Linked DNA regions of Nothobranchius furzeri. The protein of the gene in region 2 purifies or fractionates together with the protein of the main gene of each other region. This does not show direct contact. Links are inferred from orthologs where the notes say so. Each region holds a gene or a part of one and is shown on either strand. Other genes may lie near its edges.

Evidence for each region.
Region 1: the proteins of znf644a (region 2) and cbx3a purify together in Homo sapiens (affinity purification with mass spectrometry; 3 studies listed by BioGRID and IntAct, with this or other methods). This does not show direct contact. The link is inferred for Nothobranchius furzeri from reciprocal best matches to the Homo sapiens genes ZNF644 and CBX3.

What each region holds. Positions count from the first base shown.
Region 1 is NC_091751.1:29,401,729-29,405,846, reverse strand, and holds cbx3a (chromobox protein homolog 3a), read right to left. Parts: upstream 2,782-4,118; 5' UTR 2,633-2,781; intron 2,620-2,632; exon of another isoform or gene 2,302-2,619; intron 2,119-2,301; 5' UTR 2,115-2,118; coding exon 1,972-2,114; intron 1,823-1,971; coding exon 1,666-1,822; intron 1,563-1,665; coding exon 1,468-1,562; intron 1,221-1,467; coding exon 1,094-1,220; 3' UTR 733-1,093; downstream 1-732.
Region 2 is NC_091751.1:71,506,834-71,510,655, forward strand, and holds part of znf644a (zinc finger protein 644a), read right to left. Parts: intron 3,654-3,822; coding exon 3,078-3,653; intron 2,490-3,077; coding exon 2,364-2,489; intron 1-2,363.

The DNA.
Region 1 (4,118 bases), about 42 Mb from region 2:
TGGATGTTGTTTAGTCAGAAACGTCAATGCAACTTTATCCCCCATTCGTTCAATAAAAACCACCAATATAGACACCTGAATTCAGATTTGAATTACCAATCACCACACGGTTGGACATAAATATGAAGTTTTAGGTTACGTCACCATCCATGAGTCTACTACAGGTGATAAAGCCAAGTCTTCGATCTCTACCTTTTTAGTGTGAGCATCATTAGGTGAGATGCAATGATCAAATGACAGGTAAAACTATGGTTGGACTGATTTTAGTCTCCTTTAAATGTTTCCATTCATCAACACTTCCTGCCAGCTGTTCCAGGCTTTTTTGGAAGTTTAACATCTCCGACAGGCAAATAGCTGTTAACATGTGACCAGTTACTTTTAAAATAAACTCCATAATGTGTCTTTACAAGTGGTTATAGAAGAAACCAACCATTATCCATTACTGAGAACCAGCAGACTGAAGCCTCATTTACACCAAGTGCAGAACAGAATGAGCAGCTGATAGAGCTCCAGACAGGTGTGGACATTCATGGTCCTCCTTGGATAAATATCTCACCACTGTTCCTCTAAGGAGATCAGAATGCTGCTGCCAAAATAACATTCTGATGTAGGCCAAGGATTGATACCCTGACAGAACCACTCAGCTGGCTGTGACACTTTTAATAAAGCAACATTTAGGTTTTCTTTTTTCTGTATGCATTTGTCCTAAACTACAAATGAAGAGGGTAAAACTAGGCCACATAAAACCTTTATTTGAACTTTATATTTACAAACTGTAAACAAAGCGTTCATTTCAAACACGTCGGCACTTGCATCAAGGAACAAAACATTTAACTGAACTCAAAAAGGTTGACATAGACTCAAGTAAAAAAAATAAACAAATTGGAATGTGGACTGACATTATCGCTTTTTGACTAATCTTATATCCAACCCAGTCACCTGCTTTGACAAACTTTTAATCTACAATACCCCAACTGCCATACAAATGATTTTGTCTCAAATCAGCTAAAGTAGCTAAAGAAGAAAAAAAAAAGCAGAACAGAGAACACAATAAAAACCTAAAACATAAAGGTGTGCAGAATCCAGGCAAAGGCTACTGAGCCTCATCCTCTGGACAGGAATGCCACGTCAGCCGCTCCTCATAGAAGGATATGACCACCTGAGGGCAGCGCGTGTTGGCCTCACGAGCAGGGACCAAGTCTGCTTCATCTGACTCTTTCCTGGGGGACAAAAAAATAAATAAAAACTAAAATAAAACAGCAGATCTTAGAAAAGCCTATTTAAAAATCAAAGAAATAAATTATATATATTCAAGTGATTTTATTTCTAAATACTCTACATGTTTGTAATAAACCTTTTCCGCTTTTAGTTCGACTCCCTAAAAAAACACTAATGGCCATGCAAAGCAACCGAGGTAAATGTGAAACTACTCTTGTTGAAATTGGGTGTAAAGTCTGCCTAACTCACCACTTCATCAAGAACATCAGCTCCCCGCTGCTGTCTGTGGCACCAATGATTCGCTCTGGCTCCAGGTTCCTGGCAAAGCCGCGAGGCTTATCAGGCTGTCAAATAAAAACAAAAACAGGTTATAAACCATATTCTGATTGCACAACCTACAGGGAATCATGCTAGCAGGTCAGAGACATAAAAAACGTATAATCTAACCACATCTTTCTTCTTGGGTTCCTCTTCTGCATCATCTGTGGAGGCCTTCCTCTTCACTGCAGCCGGCTTCTCCTTTATATTCTTCTGGGAATCCAGAAAGGCCTGAATGAGCTCGGGGCAGTCCAGGTTATCCTCGGGTTCCCAGGTGTTGTCCGCTCTGAGGGAGCAAAAAAAAAAAAAAAAAAAACAGGTTAGCGTTCAAACCAAAAACATCCCAAACGTGTTAAAAGGGAAAAGCTGGGAGGCTTCATGCAGCCACGGTGCGTTAGAGGCGGAGAGAGCAGGACATTGTCCCGGGTAACTCACTCTGTGAAGCCTTTCCACTTCAGGTAGAACTCTACTTTCCCGTTGACGATCCGCTGGTCCAACACTTTCTCCACAACAAATTCTTCAGGCTCCTCCTGGGTCTCGGTCTCCTTCTTAGGCTTTGTATTCTGTTTCTTGCCCATTTTGCTTTTTAAAGATAAAAAGACGAGCCGCATTTATTCGGAAGGCCTTAAATCCACCCGGATGCTAGGCTACAAATAACTCAGCCAACGCTAACATAGGACATTACTCTAATTTGGCCCACCTGCTAGTTAGCTCAGCATTTAGCAGCTAAACGTAACAAAGGTTGCTAACACGCTGACCCCTTACCTAAAATTTCCTTGATTTTAAACAGTCTCATCTGCGGATTTTATTTGAGCAACAGAATTAGTAGAATTGTAAAAGATAAAATAAAAACTGTGGTAAAACTACAACACATCCCCACAAAACAACACCTTACTTGCCTTACTTTCAGCTAGCTTAACATATTACAGTAATAGCTAAACAATGGCGATGCTAACGCTGCTGGGTCAACAACTAAACTGCTGTTTGTCAAAAAACCAGCAACGTATAGGTGGCGTTTTAACACGCTCAGAGTAGCCTGATGTAATTAAAGAAATACTCAACATTGTTTTAAAAGAGAAGAACTCCGCACACTCACCCAAAGCGCGCGGATTTCTATAGTTGTTCAGCACCACGCCGCTCGGATGAAGTCGATCCCACAACGAAGGCGGCGCCAAAAACTAGTTGTGGCTACGGAAGCCCAGAAGGAAAAGCGATTCGTCTGCAGCCGAGCTGACCCATGTGTTCCAGAAGGGCCCTTTTCATGAACCAAGGCTTCAAGCCGCTAGTTAACGCAATCTGAGACACGTTGGTAGTAAATGAAAACGTTTATATATGTTTTAAACTATAAAGTAGTGGAAGGAATAAAGCATAAACACTAGCAATCATTTTCTTTTTCAGATTGTTCAAAAATGAAAAATTTAACAAATTGACCCCAAAGTCATAATGCTAATGCTGAATTCAGATTAAATTGAGCACCTGATGTCTCAAGTTGTTTAGATTGTTCTCAGACTGAGTGAAACAATTTCTTTTACTTTCTACTGAATACCGTAAATGACTGGCTTGTGATTTTGAACGAGTATTTGTTAAATATGCTTTACAGCCATATTTTAATAAATCTGTCTGCCTTCTGTCCTGAAATGATGCCGGTCAACACAGGTGTTCAGCTCAGGTGAGGAAAATAATGTTGATATGCTCACCAGCACGCAGCACCATAACAGTAATGGTATATATAACCTGTTAGCCAGACAAAACAAGACATTATTTAAATGTTTTTAATAAAGAAATCAAGTATTCTTCAATCAGATTTATCTTTTCAATAATCACCGCAAACAGACAGACAAATGTGACTCATGCATGAAAAAACAAGATGTATGAAAGTGAAATGCACACAAATAAACGTTTAAACCAGGACAAAGAGAAAACATGATCTTTGGATCACAATTAAGTTTATACACTCCCTAGTGCAGGGGAGTCCAATCCTGGTCCTGGAGAGCCAGTAACCAGCAGGTTTTGTGGTTTTTCTGCTTCAAAATGCTTGATTAGCTGGTTGAATCACCTGTGCAGCAGCTCATCAGGCTCTGCAGAAGCCTGTTAATCACCTGCTGATTGAAATCAGGTGTGCTGAAGCAGGTTAAAACGAAAAACGTGCTGGATAACGGCCCTCGAGGACCAGGATTGGACACCCCTGCCCTAGTGTAATCAAACACTCAGCCTGTCATATTGCATTCTCTAATAATCCCAAACATATAAACAGACAACAATCATTCTTGTTTGTGTAGCGAGTGGATAACATATTTTGCATGACAGGGGATTTCTTCTGTTCTAAAGTTATTTTTAGGTGAGGTTGTGCTTTAGTAGATGTGAGGGGATTCATGTCAGATCAGCTGACTTAAGTAAAGCACAAAAGGGTCAGCAGATGAGTAAAGTTTGCCTTTTTGTGCCATTTAGAAGCATCTTTATGGGAAAAGTGAGAAATTATGTTTTCCAGAATGGGTCTTTGTAACATAGATACAACCTTATGTATCATTTTGGGTGTATTTTAGGAGTAAAGAGATTATAAAACAATTATAAACAAGAAAAAA
Region 2 (3,822 bases):
GGAAAGTATGACGTTTGGAGGGAAAAACTATGTAAATCCCACGCATTGTTAATGAAATGCACCGTTAAACTCATACACGGCTGCATAGTTCAACTGCTCCACATGTCGCTTGTTGCCAAAAAAAGGACAGCTCCTCCAGTTCTCTGCCAACTTTTTTGCGTGTGTTTCTGTACAGCTGCGGCAAGACTACTTCACTGAAATACTTTCAGCTGGGTAGCTCATACCTGGGATCCAATGTTTTCATCAAATTTATAAACTCCGTCTTCTCCATGGTATATATGGGTACCATGTCTTTTGCTGTATACAAAGCAACCGTGTCGGTGATTGTAGTCCACCGGGCCCCTTTCTTGTCATATGCGGTCCCCTGTGCGAACGATTTGGCTACAGTTAGCAATTTTTTAGCCGCTGGTTCTTGGTCACTGCGGCTTTGTTCGTCTCGGAGAGACTGGCATTTTTCGTGTTTGGCTTGATGCCTCTGTTTTAGGTGTTGAAACAAGTTAGTGGTGCTGCTGCTGCCTTTGATTGCAACGGGTTTTAGACAAAGGTTGCAGCATGGGGTCTCTTGTTTTATGTCTGTTGCAGCAAACCCATACCAGTTCCAAACAACAGATGATTTTATCCCCTTCTTCGGAACAAACTTCCCACTCTCACCGCCATCACCGGTCGCCATGTGGTCGCTTGCTGTCTGTTGTTTTGTGTGTTTTTGCTCGCTCGTGGGTGGGGAACCTGATGCTACGGGACCTCCGGAGGGCCAAAAAGGCGCCATTACAAAAACTCGATTTACCTACTTTATGAATCGCCCGCAACAAAAAATTCGAATTAATTCATTTTATCGATTTTTCGCCCAGCCCTAGTAGAAACTGATCTTTGAGCCTCTATTTGCATAGAACATTTAGTCGGAGCTTAAAATGTCCCTAAAAATAGACAAAACAGGCGTAATAAGACCTGCTTTCCCCCACTCTACCAGTGTGTGTGTGTGTGTGTGTGTGTGTGTTGACTCAAGCCTACAGTAGAAGGGTTTGGAGGAGAGAAAAGTGAAAACTAGGAACCACAGCCTTTATAATATAAATAAATAAAATAGTACGTTATAAACGTACAGGCATATAACGGACAGGTCTACTGAGAAAGACTGTAAAAATGAACCCTTTAGGGCCAAAGTGGCAATATTGTGACCAGCATCATTGCTGGGTTTAACGAGTCACAGAGGCTAATCTAATGGCTCATGGGTCGCCGCCACAGTTACGATGGTGTTGGGATGAAAAGGGAGAAATGGGAGTTGGGGGTGGGGCTTGTTTCATTCTGCTTGTTCTGGATTGAAAGCTAAAGGAGCTGAGAAGAGAAGTCTGTAACGAGCCGTTTTGTTGGATTAATGTAATAAATTATCTTCCAGAATAAAACAGCTGGTGTGTTCCTGTTGACATTTTCCCATCTGGAGACTCCCGACCCAGGACAGCAGACAAGCGGAGCACACAGAAGACAAATATTATTTATTAAAGTGGAAAAAGTTGCAATGCTGACGGGTCTGTTCACTGTTGACTAGGGATGGGTACCTTTGACATTTGAATGGATTCTGTACTAACTCCCGGTACCCAGGAATCGATACCGGTACTTAACGGTGCCAATTTTAGATACTTGTGAGTGTTTTATTTTAATTCTCTTTTATAATTAAATATATATTTTCTCAATATATAACCATATTTGATAAATATCACGATAAATAACATACAACTGTTTGTATTTTAACATAGACTGTGGATCTATCTGGCATTTATTTGTACTCTGGATTTTTCAAGTATATCCTGAAACCTTCGTGGTGAGTAGTGTTTTTCTCTCTTGCAACAAAGCTGTAGCTAGCTGAGGCTAACAGCTAGCTGGTGCTAACTAGGGTTGGGAATAAAAACTGGTTCTTGTTGAAAACCGGTTCCTATCGTTTCAATTCCTAGGAATCGTTCGGCACTTTTGCAAACGTGCCCCTTATCAATTCCAGTCTGCGCGAATGACATCACCGTGCACGTTGCGTAGCTTACGGAAGCAGGAAACATGGCGTCTACGCGGCACAAATGCTCGAAAGTTTGGTTATACTTTACACGAAAGCATAACAACAGGGTAACTTGCAATAATTGCAGAGTGGATTTTTCATCTAGGTAAAAAGCCTTTGGGCACAAAATACGCGATAACGTAGAGTTAATGACGTGTTTAGACCCGCTCCGAGCTAGGAATTTCAACGCAGCACACCATGGTTTCCATCCATGGCCACAGAAACACCAACAGCTCGGCTGGTGGCCTGTTTGTTGCTTGGCTGACGTGTTAAAGGCTACACCCTTACAGTAGAAAGGCCTACTAGTGTTGGTGACAATACTTACTGGTTCCCTCTTGTAAGGCGATCCTTTTTCTTTTTGCATATGCCCGGAGGTGATTGGAGAGGGCAACTCCGCTGTGGAAAGTTGCATTGCAATGAATGCACATCTTCCTGTTGAATTCACCCTTTTCTGCAAAAAAAGACACAAAATGTAATAACATTTTCCTAAGTACATTACATTGATCTTAGGACATGACTAAGATCTGAGCATAGCTGAAGCCAGTCTACATATCTCTGAACTGCAAAAAACGTTCAGGAGTTCGACCATTCATCTATCGTTGATGAGTGTCTGTGCAAAAACTTAAATCTGCAATGACAGTTTTTGTGCAATCTTCTCAAATTTTACCACAGCAATTACTTTAATCACTATACAATCATAGACATATCGTTGCACGAAGCCAATTAACTGATGTTTGATATAAAAATGTTGTGTTGACGTAATTTCAAAACCTGCATTGAAAATGAGCTCGTCTAAAACAACAAAATTAAAAAATTGCTAAATTATCATTAAAGTTGATGTGATGTATTGAAATATTTAATAATGAATTGGCAGTGCATAAAAATAAAGTCAACGCTAAATGTTCCAAACCTTACCTGTGTGATTCAAGAGAATCAAATAAGTGTAAGAACATAGCTTCTGTTAGAAAATAACGTCGACAACATCAGGGAATTCCTTTGAAGGAATTCTGCCTTTTACCTTTCTGAGGACGTTGCTTACCAGATGGAGAGTTTGGCAGTGATCCTGAACTGTGCTCACTATTTGAAGAAACCGTTGACTCATTTCTTGAGATCGGAGTTGATCCTTTTAGTCTGGCGTCTTCTTGACACTTCCTTTTTTTCAGAATCCCTATTAAGGCAGTTGTGCCTGAGAGAGAATTTTTAACACCCATCTTCTCCAACTGCCCATTTTCAGACTTAATGTCAGATAAAGTAAATGTGGGCATCAGTGGTTTGGTGTCCGTGAGAACACTTGGGATGGAATGACTTTTGGGGAATCTGGTCTGAGAAGAGGTGAAGCGATTAGTGATGGGCAGCTTTGGTGAAGCACCATAATGAAAATGGTTTCGTCTTCTTCCCAGAATCTGAAGGGCTTGTTGAAATTCCTTTTTGTCTCGCATCAACTCATGCAGTAAAATGATTGGGGATTTGCTCTTTGAAGCAAAATTTTTCCCAAGCTTTTTCAGATGACCTCTTATATGGTTAGACTGCCCCGTCCTGTTATCGAACGCATCCCCACAGAGCGGACAAGTGTGGAGGTCAGTCACAGTCTCCGAATCTGACTCTAGCTGTAGTGCTGGAGGAAAGAACAAACACACACACACACACACACACACACACACACACACACACACACACACACACACACAAAATTACAGTGTATACTTGTCATGAATACCACCTCACAGCCATGTTATTAATACTTGTTCTGTGCTTGGTTCAGTTACAAAAATGAGGATAAAGGT